Linked DNA regions of Oryzias latipes. The protein of the gene in region 3 interacts with the protein of the main gene of each other region in a pairwise test. Links are inferred from orthologs where the notes say so. Each region holds a gene or a part of one and is shown on either strand. Other genes may lie near its edges.

Evidence for each region.
Region 1: the proteins of wdyhv1 (region 3) and nudt14 interact in binary tests that used the Homo sapiens proteins (3 or more experiments, as listed by UniProt). The two-hybrid records come from large-scale screens. The link is inferred for Oryzias latipes from reciprocal best matches to the Homo sapiens genes NTAQ1 and NUDT14.
Region 2: the proteins of wdyhv1 (region 3) and pts interact in binary tests that used the Homo sapiens proteins (3 or more experiments, as listed by UniProt). The two-hybrid records come from large-scale screens. The link is inferred for Oryzias latipes from reciprocal best matches to the Homo sapiens genes NTAQ1 and PTS.
Region 4: the proteins of wdyhv1 (region 3) and kctd1 interact in binary tests that used the Homo sapiens proteins (3 or more experiments, as listed by UniProt). The two-hybrid records come from large-scale screens. The link is inferred for Oryzias latipes from reciprocal best matches to the Homo sapiens genes NTAQ1 and KCTD1.
Region 5: the proteins of wdyhv1 (region 3) and junction plakoglobin interact in binary tests that used the Homo sapiens proteins (3 or more experiments, as listed by UniProt). The two-hybrid records come from large-scale screens. The link is inferred for Oryzias latipes from reciprocal best matches to the Homo sapiens genes NTAQ1 and JUP.
Region 6: the proteins of wdyhv1 (region 3) and cda interact in binary tests that used the Homo sapiens proteins (3 or more experiments, as listed by UniProt). The two-hybrid records come from large-scale screens. The link is inferred for Oryzias latipes from reciprocal best matches to the Homo sapiens genes NTAQ1 and CDA.
Region 7: the proteins of wdyhv1 (region 3) and gmds interact in binary tests that used the Homo sapiens proteins (3 or more experiments, as listed by UniProt). The two-hybrid records come from large-scale screens. The link is inferred for Oryzias latipes from reciprocal best matches to the Homo sapiens genes NTAQ1 and GMDS.

What each region holds. Positions count from the first base shown.
Region 1 is NC_019882.2:19,388,650-19,392,795, reverse strand, and holds the start of nudt14 (uridine diphosphate glucose pyrophosphatase), read left to right. Parts: upstream 1-1,346; 5' UTR 1,347-1,595; coding exon 1,596-1,676; intron 1,677-4,146. UniProt on the Homo sapiens protein: Hydrolyzes UDP-glucose to glucose 1-phosphate and UMP and ADP-ribose to ribose 5-phosphate and AMP. The physiological substrate is probably UDP-glucose. Poor activity on other substrates such as ADP-glucose, CDP-glucose, GDP-glucose and GDP-mannose.
Region 2 is NC_019877.2:21,061,572-21,065,597, reverse strand, and holds the start of pts (6-pyruvoyl tetrahydrobiopterin synthase), read left to right. Parts: upstream 1-1,226; 5' UTR 1,227-1,295; coding exon 1,296-1,384; intron 1,385-4,026. UniProt on the Homo sapiens protein: Involved in the biosynthesis of tetrahydrobiopterin, an essential cofactor of aromatic amino acid hydroxylases. Catalyzes the transformation of 7,8-dihydroneopterin triphosphate into 6-pyruvoyl tetrahydropterin.
Region 3 is NC_019869.2:4,812,114-4,816,164, reverse strand, and holds the start of wdyhv1 (protein N-terminal glutamine amidohydrolase), read left to right. Parts: upstream 1-1,251; 5' UTR 1,252-1,298; coding exon 1,299-1,372; intron 1,373-1,669; coding exon 1,670-1,769; intron 1,770-4,051. UniProt on the Homo sapiens protein: Mediates the side-chain deamidation of N-terminal glutamine residues to glutamate, an important step in N-end rule pathway of protein degradation.
Region 4 is NC_019875.2:25,800,525-25,804,678, reverse strand, and holds the start of kctd1 (BTB/POZ domain-containing protein KCTD1), read left to right. Parts: upstream 1-1,354; 5' UTR 1,355-2,631; coding exon 2,632-2,868; intron 2,869-3,454; coding exon 3,455-3,633; intron 3,634-4,154. UniProt on the Homo sapiens protein: May repress the transcriptional activity of AP-2 family members, including TFAP2A, TFAP2B and TFAP2C to various extent.
Region 5 is NC_019859.2:29,185,492-29,188,991, forward strand, and holds the end of junction plakoglobin, read right to left. Parts: intron 3,391-3,500; coding exon 3,230-3,390; 3' UTR 3,228-3,229; intron 876-3,227; 3' UTR 386-875; downstream 1-385. UniProt on the Homo sapiens protein: Common junctional plaque protein. The membrane-associated plaques are architectural elements in an important strategic position to influence the arrangement and function of both the cytoskeleton and the cells within the tissue.
Region 6 is NC_019863.2:29,307,602-29,311,769, reverse strand, and holds the start of cda (cytidine deaminase), read left to right. Parts: upstream 1-1,368; 5' UTR 1,369-1,369; coding exon 1,370-1,628; intron 1,629-2,417; coding exon 2,418-2,529; intron 2,530-3,410; coding exon 3,411-3,468; intron 3,469-3,643; coding exon 3,644-3,784; 3' UTR 3,785-4,168. Other genes in the region: trypsin-like, read left to right, coding at 721-873. UniProt on the Homo sapiens protein: This enzyme scavenges exogenous and endogenous cytidine and 2'-deoxycytidine for UMP synthesis.
Region 7 is NC_019862.2:20,928,782-20,932,281, forward strand, and holds part of gmds (GDP-mannose 4,6 dehydratase), read left to right. Parts: intron 1-1,350; coding exon 1,351-1,543; intron 1,544-2,663; coding exon 2,664-2,768; intron 2,769-3,500. UniProt on the Homo sapiens protein: Catalyzes the conversion of GDP-D-mannose to GDP-4-dehydro-6-deoxy-D-mannose.

The DNA.
Region 1 (4,146 bases), on a different chromosome or scaffold from region 3:
GCTGCTGCTGCGGCGGGGGTCTGGGTGTGGGGGTGGCTGGGCGCTCCTCCTCCTTCTTTTCACATTCCACCCTCCATTTTAGAAGAACATAAACACTCACCTGAGCACAGGTGTTAGCTCACCTTTGCACTAATAGTTTGCATGATTGAATGAATGAAATATTTCACACTAGTTGGTTTTAAGGCATAAGTATGCGTTCGTGAACACTATCTGTTTTGTGTACATGTTGACATGTGAACATTTTTTGCAGCTAGCAGGTGTGTTGATAACATTTGAGTGTGTGTGTGGACAGGCCCCGCCCTTTTAGTACTACATTTGAGCCTTGCCGTAATGATAAACAACCAGTAAACTTGTCTGCTCTATGCTGCTTCATGGTCTTATCCCCCCCTCCCACTATCACCCCCCCCTCTCTAACGTCCCTCTCTCTTCTTCCCTCCTTTCCTTTTCCGTCTGGTCCAACACCAAAGATTTTCAAACATGGTTGAAATTAATAAAGTTTGGCCTCAATTACAAAAGGTTCAGTAACCTGGTTATTCAGTCATGCCTTTGGTTTGTCTGAAGATTCATAACCCCTGTTGTTAAAGTAAAATATGTCCAACACAAGAGGCCCTCAGCTCTCATCTGCCTGCCTAGCTGTTGGACAGGACAAGTTTAAAAAAACAAACACATTTCTTTGTTTATTTCGTTTTCCAGAATCACTTGACTCGATTCTTCTCCTGACTTGTGGAAATGTTGGTCAAATTTGAATCATCAAGGGAGGGAATTTAGGGGTGGGGGGTGGGTTATATAGTAAATAGAGTAAAACTTTTTCTTTTTACTCTCATGTTAAGCAGTGGGTGAGAAGGTCCTGGCTCAAATCCTGGCTGGGTTTCTTTTTGTGTGGATTTTGCACACGTGTGGGTTTTCTCCAGGCACTCTGGCTCCTTCCCACAGTCAAAAAGCATGCTTCATAGGTTGATGGATGATTCTCAGTTGTCCCTAAGTCTGCATGTGATTGTTTGGCCCTGTAACAGACTGGCGGTCGGTCTGGTGTGTACCCCACCTTCACCCAACAGTAGCTGGGATAGGCTCCAGCAACCTTATGACCCTGAATGGTGTTCAACGAGGTCTGAAGATGGATGGATGGCAATAAAGTCAGGCATGAAGTGGATAATCCCACTATGTCTTCAGATTTCAGAAATCTACAAGTTACTTTGAATGAAAATGTCTACTAAATGTAAAATAAATTCACAATATTAACTGTATGCATATTTGTTGTGTATTTTACAGTATGAAATACCAGAAAAATACATAGCAGTTATCCATTAATCACTCGGATTGTTCAGCAGCTGAAGTTTATTGAATATTATTTTTAGATGTTTTTGCACTATTTTTAATCAGGTTATAATAGATGTTGGCGCATACAAACTATCTTGTTTCTCAATGTAGTTGTTTAGATCTTTCATTTTAAGTTTTTGTTTGTTGGTTTCAGCCTCCCTGAATTCCTGTTGTCGCGTCTGTTTGTCAGGTCGCCTCTCGGCTTCCGTAGACGTCGCTCCAGTGTGTGGGGACAGACGAGCATCTCCGAGCCTCCGGTCGAGTTCGAGCTGGAAACTATGGAAGAGATCAACAACGTCGAAGTGGTTCCGTGCACACAGTCCGACTACCTGAAGCCGTTCCGGGTCCATTACAACCAGGTGAGCTGTCCGCGAGGTCACACATCTGCTGAAAGCTGGAAGCTAGCAACCCCCTCACACCCCCCTCCCTCGTCCATGGTGCTGTTAGCTTCCTGTCGTGGAGGCTGGGCTGACCTTAAACACGGACGTCCACAGCGGCGACCTGCGTGGCTCGCGCCATGCAGAGGAGAGCCGGCTGCTGACGGCGGGGTGGGCCTCGCGGCGGCTCAGCGGCGGCGCGTGCGTCTGTGGGAACTGTAGGGCGCGAAGCTAAGCTAGCAGAAGAGATGCTAGGATGTAGGTTCTTCTAGCCGCTTTGCTTCAGTTTGAAGACCTCTGTGGGACTCTGGCGCCCTTCGAGGGACAGAAAGGCTCTCCCCGGTTCAGGTCCAGAGCGTCAACAGCTGAAACCCGCCTGAAACATCAGCTTTACGGTTCACCTTCCCATCATTAGTGATGTGTTTGTTGACATTGATGTTCTGCTTTCAGCACAAGCTGCAAAAACACATGTAAACTTTACACTTAAAAGTGACTAAATTGGGTTTTTGGTACCATTTTTCTTGTAGTTATTATACATATTTAAAATACACTTACTAATATAAAATATATTTTAGATAAACGTTAGGAAATCATTTTTAAATAAGGCCATGCTTGTAAAGAACATGCTTTTGTGGAATGAGGGAAAATGTGGGTCACATGAAAAACGTCTGAAATCTGTTGGTGGTTTACTTTCAAAGTGGTCTTTTATTTATGACGATGCCATTTCGGCCAAAAACCTGTCATTTTCTAGGACATAGTTTCTGCAGAGCGGCAAGGGTTCATCAGAAAATCAGTTGTGGTTAGGACTGCTGGTGCGGAGTAAGCTTCACCTCATTTCCTATGATCCCTTTGATTACATGCTCCCCCACTAGCTTACAGCCCCTCACAGCTCCAACACAACATTAGTGGTTTAATAAAACTAATATCAGAGCTATCCAGCCATACAGTTTAGATCCAGATTCCAGCTCAGACGAGGAAAACAAAAACGTTCAGGGATCTATTGGTCTGACAGTGGATGATCAGAATGGAGCAGAGCAGGAAGCTTGTAGATCACTGACCGTAATCACTGCTACAAGCTTTTTCAAACTGCTTTTTTCCCGTCTGCTCCTAATTCACAGAATGAGGAAATACTCGGAAATGCAATTTTTTAAATACATGTCCTACATCATCAGAAAAATGTTAAAAGGAAATGATCAAAACTCCAAAAACACCATTTTTCATCATAGTGGGTCTTTAAAGGTGACGAAACACTCAGACTTTTTACCATTTCAAGATTTATTACTAAGGTTTGTCTTTGAAAAACAAAAATACCAAAAAATCTAGCTAATTCCAACTTTTCTTTTAAATTCATTTTGGTCAGCCATAATAATAAAACCAAAAAGGAATCTTTGAGACACAATTTAGTCCCAAACTAAAGAAAGACACAGAGAACAAATACATTTAAATGCATATTAAAGATGCACACACAAACTTCCCAAACAGTCAGGAATATCTGTCATCTTTTAGTTTGGTAAAACCACTTTAGCCCATTTTGATTAATTTATTTGATGCATACATCCACAGGACGACTTTTAGCTGCAGCTCCATCATTTATTTAAAATGTGTCTCCTGCGTCTCACCATGGAAACCAAATCAGCTATGGGGATTTTTAAATGTATAAATGTAGAAATAAACACTTTAGTGATGAAATGCATTAATAACATTATCACTAAAACAATACAGCGTAATTTAAATATAGCTTTTTGACTCTTACCAGTGTTTATTTGTCATGTAAAGACGTTAATTTAACTGCCATAGCTAAATGATCCTGCATATTTTAGTTTTATTTAGTTATTGGATTTAAAGCTGTTCTGCATTTGTAGTAATATTTATTTTTACTCTAAAGACACACTCCAAAGAAAATTGTGTTTTTAACATGTCCTTGTAGCATTTTCAGTTATAAACACATTTGAAGGACCTATATAATGCAAAATCAACTCTTTCTCAGCTTTTGAGTGTGTTCTTATGTTAGTTCCTCACTATAAGCAACACCAAAGCGGTATTTTGATCCGCATTTCTGAGTTTCCTCTAAAATCCTGCGATCTGAGCACCAGCCCTATGGTGTCAATTCAGCGCCTAATGCAGGGGTGGGCAAACCTTTTGACTCGTGGGCCACAAAGGGTTCTAAAATTTGATAGAAGGGCCGGACCAGGAATGGATGCGTGGCGGGATTTGGCAATCCACCTCCCCAGAGAAAGAAATATTATGGAATCTGAACAAAAACGTTTCATCTCTGATTGAAAATTCATTCATTTTCTTAACCGTTTTTCCCTTTCGGGGTCACGGGGCTGCCGGAGCCTATCCCGTCCACTTGTGGGCGAAGGCAGGGGACAACCTGGACAGTTCGCCAGTCTGTCGCAGGGTAGAATGTCCACAAACACACACCCATTCACTCTCACACTCACACCTAGGG
Region 2 (4,026 bases), on a different chromosome or scaffold from region 3:
TACCTTAAATATAACTTTATCCCCCCAGAAGTTTCATTTAGACGTCAGGCTGCACTGAGGTGGTGGTTAGTACTTTCCCCTCACGGCTAAGGCCCTGGTTTGAATCCCAGCTGGGTTTGTTCTGTGTGAAGTTTGTTGTTTTAGTCTAGTCATGAATGTGTGTGTGCGTTTTCTACTGGAACTCTGGTTTCCTCCCACATTCCAAAAACATGCTTCATAGGTTCATTGATATCTCTATATTGCGGCTAAGTGTGAACATTTGTGTGATCCTGCGATAGACTAGTCCAGGACGTATTCCGCCTTCGTCCAACAGGCTTCAGCAGCACTGTGATTCTGAATGGAATTCTGAAAATGAATTAACAATTTACACAGCTAATCTTAGCTGGTTAACAAATTTTGATTACTGTTTTGTTTATGTGGGCGATGGTTCCAAATCAGCATCTTCTTCAAAATCTTTCAATCATCTCCACCGTAAACCTTTATTTGTTGCAGCTTACATCCAACCTGGCAACCCAGGATTCAATTACCGGTATTGATGGATCCAACAGGGTGACAACATATCAGTAAATATGCAAACAAGATGCTTTTATGGTCTTTATTCTGAAAGAAAAATGTGTGTTTTTTTGGTAGCAGTGTGAGATTTCTTTTAATGAAATAATCAGTAAAATTGGTATGTTTCTCTGCAATATCATAAAGTATGTTTTGTACATGGTGGTACCTGACCTTTGACCTACAGTAGCTGGGATGGGCCCTGTGTGACCCTGGACTAAGATGATGAAAGATTTTTATTTTTAATGAAATATTAAGTTATATCTTTCTACTAAAAGTTTGATTATGTATTTTTCCTAATCAGAAGGACAGTTCAAATACCCCTGTTTTTTAAATAAACTTTATTATACAAAACGGAAGTACACTACAGATAACAATTTTACAAAGTGAACTTCAGATATGCCAGGGGAGCATACATATTACATGCATTTTACATAAAAACATTAAGGTTTCTACAACTTTCATATAAACATACAGCTTTCTGGTTAAGACTTTTGGAGATGTTACTGATATACATTTCAATTTGTTTGATTAACACGGGGGAAAAAATAGAAGATGAAGAAAATTTACATTTATGAATATAACATTTGCCAAAATCCCCCCCCCTGTTTTCTGAAGGCGAGGCGTCTCGAGCTTGACGCACGCCGGTCACGTGACCCGCCCCCACGCCCTGATCTAAACCAATCGCGCGCCGCGGCAGCAGCCGGCTTAAACTGCTCACGGAGCGGCTTCAGCGGCTCTCCACCATGGCCGGGTCCTTGCACAGCAGCGCGGCGGAGCGCGTCGGCTACATCACCCGCCTGCAGAGCTTCAGCGCCTGCCACCGCCTGCACAGGTGAGCCGCTGCGGTCGTTTTTCAAAATAAAAGCCGACACGGTTCAACAGGTAGAACTGTTGCTTAATGCTGAAGCTAAAACGTTAGCATCCTTCCCATGGGAATTGTAGTTTAGTGTTTCATGATGCCTTCACGGACTGTCGGTATTCCAGGGAATAAAAGCTCCAGATGTGCACAGGAGAAGAACTCACTCACAGTAAAGAAAAGAAATGTCATTTAAGACAAACCAACAAACACTGACCTAAAACTCTTAGTTGATATCCACCATCACCAGTTTAACTTCCATTTCAATGCAATTTGACAAAGCAATAAACTTATTGGCCAAATTTCTACTCCAAACTAAAACATGAGGCTAGTTGGGATCCACAAATGCCAAACTATTAAATGTGATTTTAACTAGTTTTGGGCATTACCTTGATAAAGATCCACTCTGATGAAGACCATTTTTTGTGTGTATTTTTAACAAGTTCTTGTGACATTTTTCTGATGATTGAGGACACGTGCAAAAAAAAAAATTAAGCTCAAAATTAAATTTCTAATCATTTTTTATTCAAATCAATGTGACTCAGGGGAGAAAGAGCATATTTGTGAGGTAGAAAAAACACTAGACAAGCCTTAAGCTTCCTGCTCTGCTCCATGCTGATGCATCCACCTGCAGACAAATAGATCCATGAACGGCTTTGTTTTCCTCATCTGAGCTAATTTCTGAATCAAAACTGTACAGCCGGATAGCTCTGAGGTTGCTCACCATTTTTTTGAGGTAGGTTGTGGTTGTAAGGGGCTGTAAGCTAGCGGGAGAGAGCGTAAACAGAGAGCTATCAGTTATGGGTGATGGGAAGGGGGGAGAGGTTGCCCCATGCCAACAGTCCTGCTCATAACTCAGAAGTGAAATTCTAAAAAAATTCTAATGAACTACTGCCGCTCTACAGAAACTATGTCCTACAAAACAAGACAATTTTTAATTTTTTTTTGCCTTAAAACCACATAATCATAATTACAAAATCACTAGGAAGGCCTTGAAATGGATCAAAAGATAAATGAAGTTGGGTTTTAATGTGCATACTGTGGTGATGCGTACTGCTGAAAGCCGTAATATACAGATTGTTCCTTAAAGCACCAGATTAGTTTTTGTTTATGTAATGTTCTTGGTTAAAGAACTTTGATTTAAATTGAATAAATCACAATCCAGGCCGGGAAAGTGTCACATTCACTGTTTTACTTCCACCATCTTGAATCTCACACCTATTCCACAAAATCCCGCGAGACTAGGTATCTTATCAAATCACAGTGACACCTAGTGGTCAGAATATTACATCCCCCTTAAACTAAAAAAAAAATAATAATAATGCACTGCATTATCATGTAAACTTTGATAAGACTTTGTTTACCTCAAAATAATAATAATAATAACTAAACTTAGCTGCTTGTCATCCATACTAGGTAACATGAAATAATGAGAACATTTTCCTTTACCTTTGACAAATATTTAAACATCTTACATATCAAAGATTTGTTTAGGTTTAACAACTCTTCCAGACTTAGTGACATACACAGGCGGTTGATCATTTGGCAAAGTGTCCTCTGTGCTTTGGGATTCAGCAGTTGTTGGCTGATTGATCTTCGGGTCCTTCACACTGAGGTCAGGCTGCTGTACTTCTTCTGCGATCTGGACTTCTTTGCTGTCAGAGTGTCTCTCTCTCAGATGACGCCTGTTTCGTCTTAACGTTTGTCCTTCAGCAGTTGTGATGTGATAACTTCTGTTTGTATTTGCTGGTTGGGTGACTGTTGCTGATTTCCAGGAACCATCTTCTTGCTGGTAAGAAATGGGTGTACCTGCAGATAGTGGGGTGAGAGGTTTAGCACATTTGTTAAAGAATGTCTGCTGACGCTGCTGGCAAACTTCTCTCTGAAAGCGCACACTTTCCTGACCGGTAACTTGTGGCTTCAGCTGCTCAGGTGTGTTGGGAAGTATAGAACGTAGTCTGCGGCTCATGTGTAGCTGTGCTGGTGAGTGAAGGTTGTCAACTGGGGTATTTCTGTATTCAAGTAAACTTAGATATGAGTCTTTTCCTTCTGCTCTTGCTTTGTCCAATATGCGTTTTGCAGTTTGGACTGTCTTTTCTGCAAGTCCGTTGCTCTGTGGATAGTGGGGGCTGGTCGTGGTGTGTGTGAATCCCCATGACTCTGCAAATTGACTAAATTCTTTTGATCTGTAGCATGGTCCATTGTCACTTATGACGATTTCTGGAATTCCGTGTCTTGCCATTGCTGCTTTGAGTTTGGCAATTACAGCTGCTGAGGTACAACTGTAAAGTCTTTCTAACTCAAAATACCTGCTTAAATAGTCAACTATGACAATGTAGTCTCTTGAGTTCCAACTAAACAAGTCAGTCCCTATCACTTGCCATGGTCTTTCAGGTATAGCATGTGACATTAAAGGTTCTCTGGGGTTTGAGCTGCGGCGCTCTTGGCATATGTGACATGTCATAACTGCTTCTTCGATTTGTTTACCCATTTGGGGCCAAAACAAAATGTCTCTTGCTCTGCTTTTGCTCTTTTCGATTCCCATGTGACTTGAATGGATACGATCAATCATGGCTTTTCTCAGTGCCTGTGGAATTATTATTTTCTCGCCTTTAAAT
Region 3 (4,051 bases):
ATACAAAAACTCTGACAGCCCTAATTGGATCTAGTCTCCCCTGTGTCATTTCACACTATATTACACACAATCCAGTAGTTACCAATACCTTTAAAATTATGTTTCAATTCAGACAGACGTATGGACTCACTCAAGTGCTTACCACTAGTCCTATACACAAAAATCACCTTTTTCTCCCTGGTCAGACAGACTTCGTATTCATGATTTGGGAAGTGATTAAGGTACAGTATAATCAACTTTAAGGACATGTACCTAAGCGGTATATTTGCAAGCTTCAATGATCTTGCTTCCAAATTTTGTCTGCCTCACTCTCACTTTTTTTAGTACCTTCCAGTGTGTCGCTTCCTTCAGCAGCATGACCCTAACTTCCCTAACATACTGTGTTAGATGAGGTGTTTGAGTTGCCACTCAATTCAAAAAGATTCATTTCCAAAATCAAAGACTGCAAAATTCCTGCTTCCATCTTTGTTGTTTGATTGTCGACTGGTTAATTCAAAACTTCCAAACTTATGTAATACGTTCTTTGTTTGTTGGAGAACTGTTTCCAACATTCTACAAAACTCATTCTATGTCCCAGCATTACACAAAAAAGTTTTTTAAAAACCCAATTTTTCCAAAATACAAAGAAACCCATTTTAAACAATGAATGCAGTATACCCATGCAAGGAACTGCTACATTTACGTTTTGGTTTTCAAGAAAATAACTGTTAATAAATATAAAATCACTTGATCATCTGTTTTTTGAATGTACATATGTTACCAGTTTTTGGGAGTATTGTGTTTGTTGGTGCTCCTCAAAGTTTCCTTTTCCTATTTCTATTCCGTTACAGTTGTGAGTACTTTCTGGTGATAATTTATTTGATTTGGCATTTGATACTTTATTAAATTCTGGGAAATTCTTCATCAATGAGAGCAGATTTTTTTAAAATCAAATCATTATTCAATACATTTCATAAAGAGATCTGTTTACATTTTAAATCCTTGGAATTCAAGAAAAACAGAAATGCAATAAAACTGTCAATTTTCATTGAAGATCACATGTTGTATGACCATACCTAGTGTGAGCTACAATTCTAATGTTATTTATTTATTTTTTCTTTGTATTGTATTCTTTTTTCTTTTTATATCTTTCTATTGTAGTTATGTGAATGTGTACGTGTCATCCTTTGAAGTTCAATAAGAATAAAATAAAATAAAAAGTTGGTGAAATCAACGCTACAGGAATGGGCTTTTAGTTTGAAAGGACGGATGTGACGTACTGTATTTTCGGTGAGGTTCTTTCCGGTTAGCTTACAGACATGAAGGGTCAGTTAAAGAAAGGTGTGGAAGTAATACCAAGCCGGGAAAACTGCGTTTATACCAGCTGTTATTGGTAAAAACCAAGTTTTAACAAATCAGAAAAGCAGCCCACTGTCCTGCAGTCTTTAGTTTTGTGTCAATAAATCATTTATTGTCAAGAAAAACATCAAAATGCTAAGCGGATCCGCTCGGCTAATCGATATTCACAGTTTACATTGTTAAATGTTATACCCATTTTTAAAACTGTTATAGTGAATGAGTTATTTCAATGCCATCTGTCTAATTAATGATTGAATGAATTTTCAGGGAAATATAGTTCATTTTAATCAAGTGAATGAGTGGCTAATGCTGCTTTCCTTTACTTTCTCAGTGAGGAAAATGTTTGGAAGCTCTGTGAGTTTATTCAAGCACAGAAAATGGTTCCACTGGACCAGTTTGCTGTAATTTTCATCTCTAACGACACCAGAACGGTAAGAAGATCTGGAAACATTTTAAACGGCTTAACAAGACAATCGAATAAACAAAATGTTTGCTTTAAAAATAATATTTCAAAAAGTACCTCATACTGAGAATGATGGGCACCGAGCCCTCAAGGGTTCAGGTGGTCTCAAGAAATATTTGAAAGTAAATAACAGGCCTTCTCTGTAAAAAGAAAAATCCTTTTTGCAAAACATCTGGTAGTTTCAAAATACAGCTACAGTGATCCCTCGCTATAACACGGTTTACTTTTCACGGTTTCGCTACTTCACGGATTTGCATCGTGCATTGTGTTCTGCATTCTGATTGGCTAAAAAGTCACTTCACTTCTCTACCTGTGCGTCAATAACATTGCAGTTTAATATGTACACGTACGTAAATCAGCGTGCCAAATTTACAACAGATACGTGCAAATCATCTTGCAATTTCGAGTTTCTCTATAACCCATGAAAAAAAGGAGCGACAACAACAACTGCCTATCACTATGTTCTTCTCCCGAACAAACACAGCTGCACCGCGGGCTTCAAAGGGAGACTGCAGAGCGGAGTCAGGATGCAGCGGCTCAAGAGCAGTGAATTACACCTGAGTCACTATTTGTCTGACCGTACTTTGTATTTTTTTAAAAATCATTTTAAATATCTTCCCGTTTAATCCAAATACTCGGGTCGCGGTGGGCGGGGCTAATCTCCGCGATTTGAAGCCTTCTGTTCACATTGATGATTAAAATTCTTATTTGACAGTACAATACAGAAGATATTTGTTGAAAAACCTTTTCTAAAGTACTTTTATTTGTGAAACAATTCCTTAGCCTGTAAAACGGTTTGTTCTTTCTTTTCAATGTATAATAGAGAATTTAATTGTATAATAATTGTTAAAAAAAAAGGTTTCTACTTCACGGATTTTGCCTATCACGGGTTCTTTTTGGAACGTAACCCCCGCGAAAAACAAGGGTTTACTGTACTCCATTAATTGTGTCCAAATTGGAGGGCTGTGTTCTTCCTGGGCTGCATCTGAAGGCTGCTTACGTAACATGTTGTCCAAATTCAACAAGTCCTTTAAATATGGCCACCGAATACAGCCTTCTTTTTACCCGATTTCAAGGATTGCTCTGGTGTACCCTTCTATGCTGTCCATATCCCAAGATGCATAGCAGTAGAACCCGGATATTTTCTGACAACAATGGCTCCATGCCTGGTTCACTCCTCCTCCCTGTTCGGGACTCACGGTTGCTAGGCAACAGGACATTCACTGATGTAATGGCTGGAATTATCTAAAGGCTAGACTCGTCCAAATTCACAGCCATTAACATCTGACCTACCCGCTCAACAAAGGACCCGAGTAACATCGCCAGGGAAGACTGCGGCCATTGAAGGACGCAGACTTCGAATTTGGGAGCACCCAATATATAACGCTCAAATGTTGTGAAAGCGTCTCACTAAAACGGTCAATCAAACCAAACAAAGAAGTTCATCAAACAAATAGGCAATCCCTAAAACTGGCCACTACACACAGTACATTACAAAAACCAAAGAAATCCCGGACAAGCCCCCAATTTATGTTACACCCCATTTTAGGAAAAAGAAATACTATTTAATAAAAAAACAACCAAATTACTGTATATTTGCAGTATAAAGCACACTTAAAACCCTTAATTTTTTTATTTAAAAAGCAACAGTTTGTCTTAAAATCATGATCACCCTATCTATTAATTAGTTATGCTGCAAACAAGGTTGGGTGTTATTGTGAATACCCTCACGCGGCTAATGTGTGGCGATGTTGGACTGTTTTTTTGGTTACCAAAAAGGTTGTGTGATAGCGTAGTCACGGTAACGTTTGTTTTAGCGCTATCAGTCTGTTTTGTCCACGTGCTGCAAGCAAAGTAACGTGACTGACTGACGGACATTTCTCTGACTCTTTAATCTCACTTAATCTGCCTTGTAGTTCGGTGTGCTCTATATGTGACATATGCTCAAAATAGACCATTCATTGATGTTGTGCTTGATAATCCGGTGAGCCCTGTAGTGTGGAAAATACTGTACAAAGAACAAAGCCTGTATGTATGTTCTGCCCTGGAGATCCTTGCCCAGTCTGGTGCTCTGGACAATTAGGCACAAATGTGCAATCAAAGCTGGCAGAGGAGAAGGAAGACAGAAAACCTCCCACTCCAGCAGAAAATATAAAAGAAAATAGAGAGAGAAAACCCAAATGTACAAAAAAGCCATCACACTGTCATTTATCCATAAATTTTCTAAATCTGCTTAATCTGTTTTGAGGT
Region 4 (4,154 bases), on a different chromosome or scaffold from region 3:
GGATTTGCTCTGTACTAATCGTAAAACTTTTATAAATATTGATATTCAAGACCCATTCGCACTTTAATACCTTTTTGGAAGACCTAAAGTTCAGCCATGCACACACACATTCACAGAGTGGCACCAACCTGTAAGCAGCTGGAGCAACATGGGGTTCAGTGTCTTGCCCAAGGACCCCTCTATACATGGGCGGAACCGAACATGCGATCTTCCGATCAGACATAAACTGCTCTCTGCATCAAGTTTACCCCCATTTCATTTATATTTTGTTTCTTGTGTCTCGAGAGGACCTGGGTGCAGAAAATTCTCAAAAAAAAAAACTTTTTTACTGGAAACCCTAACAGTCACAGCTTTTCCTGTTTTAAGCTTTAATACAAGTTTCCTGTACCATTCTTTTAGGTTAAGGTCACAGTTGGGGTTACGATTAGGGTCAATTGTATAATTTCCACTTCCGGCCGATGATGTCAGACTCCATCTTGTCTGCAGCCATGTCCCTCTCTTGAGTTTTGTTTCTAAAACTTGTCTAATTTCAGAAATGAAATTTTTGTTTTGTTACCATTTTTTTTTCCTTTTTTAACTGTCATTGTGATCTTTAATATATGTTTTTGGGCTAAGTGATTTGCACTTCGGGGCCACCGCACATGAACAAGGAGATCAGGTGATAATTTAGCAGGAATAGACCAGACAGACTGGCTCCTGCTGGCGTTTCAGCGAGGGTTTGCACATACACATGCAGCTGAAGTTCTGACTTCTCCAAATGTTAGCACTTATAGGATGTGGACACCAGCGTAAGAAAATGTTTTCCTACTTCTACCAGCTCTGAATGATGTTGTGATGGAAGAGATCATTCCCTCAACACCCACATGACGCCCACCTAACCACCTGTCCTTTCTCACTTCCTCTTCTTTCTCTCTTGCAATTTTCCATAATGCCTGACAGATTTTACACCCAATCCACCTTTGCGATGACAAGGCTTTGAGGAAATCCAATTCCACCAAGCTGTTTTCAGAACTTTCTCTCCACAGGCACACACTTCCGCACACACACACACACTACCATCTCTACAAATTAGTCAGGGAACAAATTACCTGCATTCTGAGTGTGATCCCACGCACTTTGCCGGCTGCCTTACACAGGTCCCCTTTTGAAGAGCAGCCATGTGATTTCTCTCTCTTATGCCCTGCAGGCCCCTTTGCCTTCTGCGAGGGATTCTGGAGTTGAATTTTAAAACTATGTATGGCTGCTGCCTGTGCTTATCAGCGCGTGCACAAGTGGCATGCAAATCAAACCAGGATCACACACTGCATTGGAGGCCTACACTCAAAGGCAAGCTTAATTGCTAATTGGGTGTCTAGGTGTGAAACCAACACTGCCAATGAGAAGCAGAAATGTGGATGTTTTAAGGCCAGTGGTTGAACTAATTAATTTTAATCTGAATGTTATTAAAATTTGTGGATTCCCTGCATTTTCTTCTGAAAAATTATCCCGGAAGAGCACAGCGAAAGTAGTCTTAAGTGCAGTTGGACGTGTTGTGGTCTGTTTTTATACCCTCATGCATATACACAAGTCGCCGGAGGTGCTGCTTTTGTGTAATTCTACACAACTACTTTGAAAAAAATAAAATATTTTTAAACTTACTTCTTCTAGAAACCCACAAAAGTTACTGAAAGTGATCTATGTCTTGAGGTATACCTTTTTGTACTAAAAGACTAATTTTGGCCTAACCTGGGCAAAATGTGACACGTGGTGGTGACTGTTGTGTTCACCTGCTATGTCCGGAAATCAACAGCTGGGCCTAACCTAGTCTCACTGTCATGTACCAGCTTTGACCAATGGGGTCTGACATGGGTTGTGGCAAGTGTCAGAAGGGCTCGGTTTTGCCCAGAGGCTCAGAAAACTGCCAAAATTAGGACAAAGAAAATGTGGATATGGGTCACAAATTTGACAAAGATTATTTTGATGTCTGAAACACGTTTTTTTTAAGCATACACTTTATTTTTAAATCCCTTTCAACTGCAAAGCAGATTTCAAATTGTACTGGGGCAAAGGATATTGTAATTTCTGAGGAAGGTTGTGCTCCTGAAAGCATCAGGTGAGTAGGTTGGGAGTGAAATGGTGCGTTCATGTCCATGTAGTTGAGCATGTCAAACACAGTGATATCATTGTTTGAGCTTTGGGGTCTGTTTGTTTTTTAGAAATCTTGACTGAGAGTAGGGCTGAATTAAAAAAAAAAACGCTGCTGAACAATGGGAGCAGAAATTAGAGGAGGGGGTGACCGCGCCGTTCCAAGGGGCCAAAGGGCCAGCTGCGCAGGGTCCAGATGTGCGTCCGACTCCCACCATCTCATACTATACTGTAGGACAGGATCCGTTTTATTCCGAAAATGCGGCACACATACCTGCCACTGAAGCAGCGACAGCCCAGAAGAGCCGCAGGCGCTACAATGCTAATGTTGTCGGGGGCTTTGACTTCTCCCCGCCACTGCAAAGGAACTGCTCCGTGTGACAGCCACGGCGCCGGCGCTCTTCCTCCCGGTGCTCGCTCGCTGCTCCTCGCGCCTATTCGCGTCTATTTATCTCTCACGAAACAACCCCAGACCTCGTCCGATCTCTTATCAGCGTCTGAGCCGCGATGGAGGAAACGGATATCATGGACTTAACGCATCAGAAAGCGAAGAAGCGCCCGCGTCCGGTCAGTTCTGTGGACGAGTCCGTGCACGCGTCCCTCAAACGGCTGCCGATGCGGGCAGCGGAGTGCAGGGAGCCCGCGCTGATGTTTGCGGTCAGAGGAGAGCCTCTCCCCGCAGCATCCCTGAAGCAGAACGACCACTCGGTGAATTCCTCTCCTACCGCAGTCATGCCGGCTCAGGTAAGGAGCGCAAAGAACTTCCAAAGAAAGAAACATTATCCGCCTGCGTCATTTAACCCAAATGCGCACAGCCTTCTACAGCTTTTATTTTATTGTTAAACTCAATCATTTGTGTCGAATATGTGGTCGAAGCTCGTAGCTCTGTCAGGGGTTAGTTCTCTCCACGATCCCAGTCATGTAGGGGGCTAAAACTTTTGGGAATGCAGTAGTTTTCTTCCGAAAATTGTCTCCTAATGGTGTTTGTAGGTTAACATGATGTAGCTTACCCCCCCAAAAAAAATCCTATTAAGGTATTCAAATCAAGAGTCATTATTGCTCGTCTCCAAGAGAGATTGATGCCCCAAATTAATTTGGTTTCGGAGATCATGGCCCACAGGAGTAGATGCTTATGGATTGTGGCAACATCCAGGTCAAGGTCAGGCTGCTCCATCCTGCAGGAAATATAGTTTTTACTCTGGGCTTTCTTGGCAGATATAAATTTTTACATTTTCATTTGTTTTCTTTTGTTTTCATCTTTTTTTTTTAATTCACGGAAGAAGCAGCACAGTATCTTTCCTGTCTGTGAACCATACCTTTATGTCTTTAGGATAACCGCTCCAGCATGTCCAGGCCCATGATCACACGGTCACCAGTGTCCCCCTTGAGTAACCAGGGCATCCCTGCACCTGCACAGCTCACCAAGTCCAACGCCCCCGTGCACATTGATGTAGGCGGGCACATGTACACCAGCAGTCTGGCCACCTTGACAAAATTTCCAGAGTCGAGGTAAGTCCGTCTTTTCATTTTGTGGCTGAAGCGCTTGGCTGATGAGGATTTTCTCATAGTTTAATGTCAACCTCTTTAACATTTAATGTCATCAAGCAACAGTCAAATGTCACAACTCTTCACATCACATGTGATTAAGAAATTTTGATGTACTTTTTAGATAGTGTTGTCAGGTTGGTTTCTAATCATTCAGGTGTGTCACAAGACAATTCCCCATGAAATAAAAAGATCAGTTATTTTTAGGGGCCAAACTGTTTGTAGGAGCTGCAACCGCAGAATGCAGAGCGCGCAGACAAAAGCAACTTGGTTATTCTGACAGATGTCACAGCAGCAGTAAAGTGCCGAAGGGCATGGAGCCATCTGGAGGCTGGGAGGCTGCACTGTCGCTCCCAGCTCAGGCCTGGGGGTGATGGCAGCCTGCCTCAGGCAACGTGCACCAGCTGCCTTGACCTCTCCAGACCAACACTGCGTCTCATTCCTTTGTTTCTTTCTTTGAATCTGGAAGAATAAAAAGGAAAGTA
Region 5 (3,500 bases), on a different chromosome or scaffold from region 3:
TAGAGCAGCATGAAGGGCTGTGGCTACGGCGTCCACTGTGGATCCGTTTCCTCTCAAAGCGAACTGACAGGTCAAAGCTTTGGGTCAGGAGTGATGTGATAAGACTCCAAGTTATTTTAAATACATTTTTCCACTACTGGTGTGAGCGCCACTGGTCGGTAGTCACTTAAGGTGGAAATGCGTCTTCCTGGGCACGAGGACTGTGATGGAGGATTGGAGACATTGCAGGATCCAGAGCTGGAATGAAGAGAAGCTCGAGATCCTTTCCAACGTTTTCTGCAGCTTGAGGTGAAGAAGGATCTAAAACAAGTTTAGTCTTTGTAGGTTATAAGGAATAAAAATGTATTTGAAATGACGCAAAGTCAAGAATCAAAGAGACACCAAAGCAGTTTGATATAATCTTTATTTTATAAACAGATTTTCAGTAAAAACTCTGAAGTACAAAGACTAAGTTCCCTGTCAGTAGTTCGCTCCAGACTAACGTCTCATGAGTTCACGCATCCATCGGCTGCCCTTCTTCTGAAGCAGTGGCCACGCCCCCCAGAGCCACGCGAATGGCGGCGGCGTGGAGCATGCAGAGTTTTTAACTGTTATTTTTTTGTTTCTCATAAAAAAGGAAGCTACATGATTATCATAACAAAATAAAATCTCTTTGGCGTCGAACACCCACCCAGAAGCAGAAACACACACACAGCTGAAGCCTCAGCGCCTGAACTAGAATCAGTAAAATTAGTCTATAAAACACAAGTTCAGCCCTGTTAAGATTATGAGTCCCATATTCTGTAATAATTGCATATTTTACATCATGTGGGGGGGCACAGGGAACACTCCACTCCTTCCTGTTCTCCTCCTGGTCTCAGCTCCTCCTCCATCCTCTGAAACGACACAAAAACACTTGTTAGTTGGCTTCTTCTTCCTGGATGCCTCACGTCTCCATGGAAACAAGGATGCGGGTGGAGTCCGACTTTTTCTTTCCACAGCCTCATTTTTTTTCTGTTCAGTACCCTTTTATTTAATCTGTTGGTCACATTTCTGCACCCCTGAAGCTGGATTATTGAAATAATCTGGCTCGAGTTATTTTGCCCTTCCAGACGTCCTCAGCTGTGAGCTGGACTCACTCATCAGACTCCAGGACTCCACCTGCTGCTCTGTCCTCCTTTGTTGGGAGAAACGCTTTGGTTTCTTGGGTTCTGGGGGGGTGGGGGGTGGTTGGTCGCTTTATCTTGGATCACAAAGTGCTGCCGCTGAAAAAAAGAGAGCTGTGCAGCAACGGCTCGTCAACTCGCATCAGGTTCAACAGCCAGAGAGCCCCGTTACGTAACAGAAGGAAACGGAGCAGTGCTCCCCCTAGAGGACGGCAGTGGGATTACCGTCCACCACGGAGTGAAGAATGTTCTGCTCCTCTTCCTCCTGCATGCTGTGAAGCTTTTCTTTCTTGCATTTAGACTTTTTGAGTTTTCAGGATGGTTGATGTTCAGAGGAAAAGCTTTGAGGTGAAGAACGACGGCAAAAAACCAGCAGTGACTGTGAATCGATCACACTTTTTGAGCACTTTTAAAATGTTTTTCAGCTCATTTGTTTGTTTTTTTAAGCCCATCTTGAAATGAATTTGTCGGCTCTAGGGTTTTTCCACCATCTTTTGGAAAAGAGCTGCAGAAAAGGACACAGCCTCCGAGTGTCCTTAACCTTTCTCTGTCCTTCAGGTTCAGGATTAAAAATTCGTCTTTTTATGAATCTCAAAGCCAATAAACAGCTGTGGTGCAGAGGTAGAGCGGTCGACCTCTGATTAGAAGATCGCAGGTCTGGTTACTTCCCCGTGCACCCGTGTGTGGAAGTGTCCTTGAAAACAAGACGCTGAAGCCCTCCTGTCTCCTGGTGGACATAGCTTGGCGCCAGTGTTCAGCATCCGTGTGGGAAGAAGCACTTTGGGCCTTCTGAGCATGTTTGTATGTTACAAACGTGGACGAGGAGCCTGTGAGCACAGGGCTGTTACCATAGGAACACAAAGAGGGGCAAAGCAGTACAATGAGATTTGTTGGTGGGGCCCTCCAGCCCCCCCCCTTTTTTGTGCAGATGTGAAAGACTGAAGCGGATCTTCTGCTCAGAGTCGCTGCTGATGAAACAAATCAGGGAATGTAAAGTTTTATAGAACGTTAGAACCCCCCCCCCCCCGTTGGTCGGATCGTTTTAATTTACTGACTGCTGTGAGCGCTCAGGTCAAGAGAAAGCGCTCCATCAGCAGCAACAGGCTTTCACAGCTGCGACTGCATTCACCCGTCGCCATGGCGACCCCTTCTGCCACAGAGGCTTTTTTTTTTTTTTTTAGAGCCTCAGACCTCAAACCCAGGAAACTTTTTCTGTTCTAAAGAATCCATAAAACAACTGTTCGGGTCCTCTGAAGTGGGCGGAGCTTTACCAAAACCACCTTCAAGATTTAGATTCACCAGAAGAGAGACGCTCAGGATGCTCCTTTATTACGGGACAAATAAAGGGGAAGTCCTCCACCCCGACAGTCAAACATGGTGGTGGGAACATCCTGCTTTAGGGTTGTTGTTTTTTTCAGCCAAGAACCTCATCACAACATGATCAGGATTCTGTGGAGAAGCTAAGGATCAGGGTGAGGAGACCCTCCAACCCAAACCTACAGACGAGAGACAGCGAGCGGATCAGAGTTCAGGAAGACTTTGATCTCTGGACTTTTTTTTTTGTGGAGGGTTTTAATAACTCTGGACAATGATTCCTCTGGGGCTTCAAATTCTGACATTGCCAGTTGAGAAAACACTTGGTAGAAAAAACATAACCGAGGTGAAACCTAAATATCCATCTTTGTTGAACCTTCATGTTCCTCTTAGAGAGTCGATCCATCAACCACACTTCCTGTGGACGTCCATCTGTGAGGCTCACGGCTGGTTTTGGTTTCCACTGATAAGAAGAGGAAAACGTTTGACAGACCTGCCCGGTATAAACCAAACAGACCGTCACGGATGCTCTAAGCTACTGTTCTGTAGGCATGACAACGAGGAACTCAGGGGTTGTGCAGTGGTGGGAGTAGCTTAGTAAGGGATTACCATAATCAGCAAATCAGAATCATCTGTAAAGTATTACAGCTCAAACGAAGAACCTGAAGATCTGGAACCACAATGTTCTGCAAGAACAAACCCGTCTGAACGTTTCCAAAAGTCAGTGACTGTTAATAACCCCCCCAAAACAAGTGGAACAGCTCTGACCATTAATATTGATCTGGGTATTGTCCCTCGTAGTAGCCTGGTTGGTATTCGTCGGGCATCATGCCATTCATGATTTCCACGCCCATGCCCATGCCCATGTCGTCCATGCCGTCCTGGTCAGCCGGGTATCCAGCAAACCCCCCCTGGAAGCCGGCGTCGAGCTCTGGAACACAAACAGGGTAAAAGCACCGATGAGCAGAGCGTGATGAAGGTCGCTGCAAACGTTTCAGGAAAACGGACTTTTGTTTAGCGCCAGTGTTGGTGTTCCTGGAT
Region 6 (4,168 bases), on a different chromosome or scaffold from region 3:
AATTTAAGAACTTCCTGAACTGAAAAACACTTTCAGGAGCAAAAGCACAGGCATTGAAATAAAAGTGGTTTTTGTTCGCTTGACAAATGTACAACACAATGCGACACACACACTTTTAAATACCAAAACAAATGTGTGTATTCCTATCACACGAAAAAATAATACTTTTTAATCAACCAATTTGTTTTATTTTGTCCAATTAGCTAAATTGATTGAAGCTGTGCATGGAAACCAGTGAGTTTGGAAGGAGAAACCTCTGCTGTGTTAACATACTCAAAGGAATCGGACATTCCATTGAGAACCATAACTTATGGCGAGTTTCTATGAACCCCGCCTGTGGAACGGTTTCCCAGAGAGCCTCAGGACCACACAGACTGCTCATGTGTTTAGAGGATGACTCGAGTTTTAATCTGGCTTTTAACGGGAATTTAGCAATACAATTATTTTATGTTTAATTTATTTGGTGAATCCTTTTGTTGTTTTGTTACTTATTTGAATGGATCTTTTTTAAATTCTTTTGCAATTTTATCAACTTTAGAGATTTAGCAAATTTTGCCAATTAAGGTTTATTTATTTATGTTTACACCTGTAAGTATTTTATTCCTTTTCATTTTTTTTTTGTTTTTTCATGTGAAGCTCCTTTGTGCTACATGAGTATGAAACGTGCTTTTATAAACAAAGTTAGATTTGATTTGATCCAATATTATAACATCTCTGCAGGGGGATTCAGGAGGCCCACTTGTCTGCAACGGTAAATTTGAAGGCATTGTCTCTTGGGGCATCGGCTGTGGCTATGCGTCCTACCCTGGTGTTTACACCAAGGTCAGAAACTACCTCATCTGGATTGACCAGGTCATCCAGAGCAGCCCATAACTCCTCAAACCACAAGAAAGTACTGAATAAAATTTCAACTGTCCCAAAAGGTTTTTTTCTTTCACTTTGTATTCCTGAACTTACTAGATAATTTATCTTCAATCTTCAAAACTTGTCTTAAATCTGCAAAAGTATCTTATTTTAGATTCTAAAAATCCTCATATTTCTTTTAAAGGTCCTTTAAAATGATCAATAAACTAGATTATATAGATGTTTGAAACTTTAAAAAGTTTCACCTCCTGATGTTTTTCTGTCTGCTACCTACATTTTTCTTTAATCCTGAAAATAAAGAGACATATTTTGTCAGACTAAACCTTCGGATTTTGCATCTTTTGATCCATCCTGACGCAAAGAAGTCATTCCATTTAGGGTCAAACCTGCTTCAAACTACAGGAAAAAAACGTTCTCATCCTGCAGCACAGCTAACGGCCTGACAAATGATTGGCTGAGATCAGGCGTCGTGCCTCTGCCCAAATCACATTTAAAGCTGAACTGCATGACAATCATTCACCCACTCAGTGCAGAGGTATCACACACAGCCTCAAAGCCAACCTCACAAACATCAAGCATGGAGGAGGTCAAGTCTGGACAGAAGATCACAAAGATCCAGGATGAAGGCTCCAGAGACCTGTCCCCAGAAACAGTTCAAAGACTGATTTTTCAGTCTCAGGAGGCGAAGAAGAAAGCGTACTGTCCTTACAGCCAGTTCAGAGTGGGAGCTGCTCTCCTCACCATCGACAACCGTGTCTTCACAGGTGAGTCGCACCTCATCCTCTCTGATTCAGTCATTTCATGTCCTGTGATGCCAAACAAAACCTAAACCAGATTAAACTGATGATCAAAGAATCATCCGGCTTTCACGGCTGCTTGGTGACCCTCAGCAAAAAGTATATACATGTACTACAAGTTTGCTTAGTCTATACTACGGTGAGGTACTTGAAGCTTACATTTTTATGTACTATTGTACATTTTAAACAATACCAATTTAGTCTGAAGTACACATACATGGTATACTTCATAAAATAAACTTCAAGTGTAGTACTTTTTGCAACATTTTCAGCTCTGTGTAAGAAGAAGCAAATAATAGCGACTCAAATCTTTTTGGGAAAAACTTAGGAGAAGAAAAAAAATAAAACTTCAATCTGACATTGAAGTTGTCACACAATGTTAATGATTAGCTGACAGGGGAAATGACTGGACTCCAGAGTGAAGGTTCACATTTCTAATTGGTCATTACAACACCACATGGCGCAATTTTCAGATTCCAAATTTGAATTTTTTGGATTCAAGTTCTTCATGAAAATCTGTTTCAATTGCAACTTTTGTCCGAGCGAAAGTTTTCTCCTTTTGTGTCAAAATCCCTGCACACATGAAAAGGCTTGACAAAACCTTGAAAGGCTGCTGGAGGTCCAAAGGCTCACTGACTATTTGATTAAGCTATAGAAAAAAAAAATCAATAGGCAGCCTCTTTACAGAGAAAAGGACCCCTTTTTCTTTGGGACATATGCATTTGGTCACTCTGTTTTGTCCCGTGTCTCTGACAGGCTGCAATGTGGAGAATGCATGCTACAACCTGGGAATGTGCGCTGAGCGAAATGCCATGGCAAAGGCGGTGTCAGAAGGACACAGGAACTTCAAGGCGATTGCAGTCGCCAGGTGAAAAAATGAAACCGCCATTTTTGAAAATTCACTCCATCAGACACCAGCATCTTTCGCCCACTTTACAAACTTCTTTGTGTTTCTTTTTGCACTTCAGCACACCTTAACAAATTATCTTAGCGATGTGACCATTTCTGTTGAAGCAAATGCTCGTATAGTAATAAAAAGTCAAAGCATGATTTCTCTACAAAAACATCTCTTTTTACACTTCATATAAAACAAAACTAAGTGTAGGATGGAATAGCTTGTGTTATATCTTGTTGCGTCATTTGATCTTGAAAACATTTTATTTTAAGCAAAAATACTGATTTAAAATATGTTGTTTATGTTTTTGTGATGATGAATGGTCTAGGAATGAAGGGTTTAAAGACACTGGACGGTTTTATTTGACTTATAGCGTGGAACAAATGCATTTAGCAACAACAGGACAAAATTTTTAAATGAAACAATTACAAAATTATAATTTGTCGACACATTTATCTTAAAATGTGTAATTATACTCTTGAAATGATTGCAGTTTAGAAATAAGAATAGCTGTGGTGTTGTAGTGCAGGCAAAAGTGAATAAATGTACCTATGATAACAATTTAAACTATTTTTTGATCAAAAGATGGCTATTTTAAGACATATTACCAACTACCAGAGCAGTATACCTGAATATGAGTGTTTATAGGTGATTTCAAGATTTCACTTACTCTTAAAGGGGTGTAATATATTACTAATTATTTTAAAAAAAAATCTCACAAAGACAAATTCTTTTAGTTCCATTGGCAGATTTCTTCACTTATAACAAGGAAAAACATCTTGAATTCTATATTTTTGACTTGCTTTGAGGACATTTTTTATGAAGTTGCTTCGCTTTCGTGTTTCCTGCTGCAGTGACGTGAGGGATCACTTCGTTTTCCCATGTGGAGGCTGCAGACAGTTCATGAGAGAGGTACTGTTGGGTCATATTGCTTCATTCTGAAGGCTCTGTACCTTCAACACGTCCAAAAGATCCAAACATTCTTTAAAAAAAAAAAATGCAAACATTTGCTTCAGCTTGACAAACACATTGAAGCATCTGAACAAGAAGATATTCCTGAGTCACATTTACTTGTGTTTTTTTCCAGTTTGGGACGGACTGGGATGTTTACCTCTCCCACCCTGACGGATCTCACAGAAAGATGACTGTGGAGGAGCTGCTGCCCTTTTCTTTTGGCCCTGAAGACTTGTCCAAGAAGAAAATACCTCACACTCCCAATGAGTACTAAATGGTTTCCAAAAAACCTGCGTTCAAAAAGTCAATATTTACCAACAGTTTTAAACGTTGCAGCAAATTTTCATTCATGTTTAAATTAATAACAGAAATTTGTGTCTTTCCACGACCGTTCCGTGTATGTCTACCAGACTTTTCACGCATGTACAACATTTATATGGCGTGTACGGCATTTATCACGTTAAAATTATGTAATTGACGCACAAATTACTAATGAATTTCATGTAAACAGAACAATAATTACGCACAGTTCATGTTTTACGTTGATTTATCTGTTCTCTGCGTGGTTCATTTCCTGCAAACTGTCTTTCCTGTTTAAATTATTTCCAGAATATATTTAATGAAAATGTTATTAAAGCTTCCACTTTAAATGCATGAG
Region 7 (3,500 bases), on a different chromosome or scaffold from region 3:
ATTAAAACTGCTTGCTTTGTGTGCGCCTGAGTGTGGATTCACTGTGAGTGGAATAGAGGCCCAGTGTTCTCAGGTCCCAGCTTTAAATAAGGAGTCTTTATCTGGCCGTGTGCGCAGGGCTGATGTGAAAGCACTAAAGGGTCGGCGTGTTTCCTCAGTTCAGACGTGGCCCATGCCGCTCGCTCCAGGTGTGGTGACCACTAACCAGCAAGGCTTTTAACTGTCACGCCTGATTTGGAGCCTGGGGCCAACTTGGCACGTGCACAAGTACACAGTGTCTGGTACACACGGTCATGCATGCGCACATCCATTTCTAATTTAAACTCAATCCCCCTCTCCCCTCTAGCCTTTTTAGTCCCCATCCTCTCTTTTTCATACTAGAAATAGGGATTCTGGGAGTTGGAGTATATTGTGTGAAGTATGGAAAGAATTTAAAAATGACATAAAAGGATCAAGTTAACCTATTTATAGTCTTTGCTGCTTCCTTCAGGCAAGGAGTCAAACTTTATAACTGGTAAAAAACAACGATTTCCCTCTTTTTAGGGTTGACATGATTTTACAGGCAAACTGTTGTGACTCTGCAGACATACACAATGAGGTATAAGGGTATAAGTGAGTAGTTTGACAATATGACAAGTACATTTTTTAATACACCATTGGACAGCATACTGAGAAAGTTAAAATTAGCTACCTAAAAAAAATGCAAGTCAAAATGACGAGGAGTTGGACAGGGAGACAAAGAGAAATGCGCTTTTTTCTAGGGAAGAGGAAATATTCTAAACTGTATTTCATTTGAAAAGAAAAAAATGTCCTTGAGTCATTTTCTTGAATAAAAATCCAGTAGTAGTTTGTTTACTGTTTAAAATGCATCTATCTTCAGATGGAATTAGGCTTATATTAAAATCTTTAAAAAAAAATGTGTTGACAAGTTTTAACAAGCAGAAAAGAAAAAAGAAAGATGGTAATCAATAACAGAAACAATTAAAAATTTCTGATTTAACGCTGTTTAGTTATTTGGCATGTAATTTCCTCTTGTAATTTTGGTGCCAAATTCACACAAAGTGATACATGAATACTGAAGACTTTGAACATGTATGACTACATTTATTGAGTGAAACTGTGATTTTTTTTTTTGACTTTTCCACACAATAAAATGTACTTAATTTTATATTCAGTTCAATTCTTACTTAAGACAAAGGTATTTTGCTCATCATTTCATGTTAGTTTCATCACTTCTCTTTCCTTAAGCTTCAAATTTTTACCAGAGTTAAACAATATTCAGAGATTTTGCTCTAAACTCCTATAATGACAACATTGTGTCTCCTTTTTTTGTGTCCGTTTCTCCCTCAGATCTCCTTTGATCTGGCAGAGTACACCGCCAATGTGGACGGTGTGGGCACACTGCGCCTCCTGGATGCCATTAAGACATGTGGTTTGACCAACAGCGTCAAATTCTACCAAGCCTCTACAAGCGAGCTGTACGGCAAAGTGCAGGAGATTCCCCAAAAAGAAACCACTCCCTTCTACCCGCGCTCACCTTATGGTAATACCAAGAGTGCTAAATGCATAGGCGATAAAACAAGGATCGCCTAACTTCAACTTTTCAGCATTTGTCAGGGACTTGCATTGATGCGTCTACAGCACTTTCTCCTTTGCTTTCATGAATGTGTGTGTCTACGTGTCCATGTGAGTAAGTGAAGGAGGTGCAGTGTGTGTGTGCGTTCTCCACACCCTGAGGCCAAACATCTGATTGAGAACTGGAGTGGCTCTCATTTTAACAAAGACACCTTTATATCCACGGCACTCAGCACTCACTTTTGACACAACGCGCGCATGCACACACACACACACGCAGACAGGCCGTGCACGTGTGTCCAAGCTCAGGTTTCATGTTCTCTCTTGTCTAAATGCTCTCCTCACTGACACTTTCCTCATCTGTCAGCACTCAATCTGATGCTGCATGGGCGTTTCGAACAGGACTGCTCCTCCATTAATTAGCCTTATGAGGGTGAAGGGGGGGGTGGTCACCATGGCAGCCTCCCTTCACCTCCAATGTACATCTTGACCTACAGCTTAATCAACAGCACCTCCCTTCATTTGCTTTGGTATTCCCCTCGTTACATAGAAAGATGGAGGAGGAGGATGGTGAAAGGGAAAGAGAGGAGAACTTTTTGCCCAGGCCTGCTTTTGGTCAATCAGCAGGAGTCTGTGGTTTATGCTCCTGACAGGGAAAGATGATCTGCAGAGAAGCTGTGCTCAACCCTGGCATGCAGCATAGTTAGAAGCCTTAATCTTTCTCTTCTTTGTGGACTGTTTTCTTCTCCCTCCTCAGATTAAAACTGTAAATTCAATCCTTTTTACTATGACTTTGTTTTCCAAGCTGCAACAATGGAGCTGAAATTAACTTTACTAAGTTTTGTTTCAGTATGCAGATCATCAGATCCATTTAAAGTAACTCAAAATGCCTTTATTATTATTATTATTATTAATAAGTAATATAAAACATTAGCCTTTTTTATGAACTTGATTGAAATACTTTTAACGATCTGCGGCATTGACTTTGTGTCTAAACCTTCCTGAGGTTGTGAAGTTGGGCTGCAAAGAGAAAGTTGTATAAAGGTGGTTTTAGGTGTAAAGCACGTCTTCTGTTCTTCTTTTCTCAGGAGCTGCTAAGCTTTATGCCTACTGGATTGTGGTGAACTTCCGAGAAGCTTACAACATGTTTGCTGTCAACGGGATCCTCTTTAACCATGAGAGCCCGCGGAGAGGTGAGTGTGAACCCTGACATAACCTCAGGAAATCATGAAATTCAGTTTGGTGTTCAGTAATAATAATCATTAAAAAATGTGTTCTGTAACATTCTGGTGAAATAACTGAACATTTTTTAAGCTGATATGATGCATCTCTTTGTAATGCTGGATATGTGTAAGGCTTTTACAAACGTTTTTATGAATGTTGGTCTTAAGAAGGATTCCTGTTGAAAGACAATTTAAATGAAATCCAGAGGCCACTTTAAATCCCCTGGAACATTGAATTCTATTACATTGGTCATTTATTATACTGCGGTTCACCTTTTACAGTCTCGCAGATTTTTTTGGTGCAATTTGGTAAAATTATTTTTATTTTTATTTATACAGCACACTGTGCTGATTGGCTCTACACCATTGTCAATCAATGTCCCTTCGTGGTCATTACAGTACAGAAGGCATTGTGCTTGCAAAGATGATCTTTGGTTTTATATTCTAACGCCTGACTTACTTTTCCACGAAGGTTTGAACTTAGAGTTTAAACAAGTGAGGAAAGTGGGAAAATGTTAATGTCTGAGAAAAATGAATTAAGTGTGTAGTGCTGGGTTTTACAGCCTTATAATAATTGTAAAAAAAAAGAAAAGTAACTCACTGATTTCGTCTGCTGTGGGTTATTTTTAGAACAGAACTCTTGTAATAAACGATGGACCACTGCACAAACAGCAGGGCAAAACAAGTTTTTTGTCACTGATC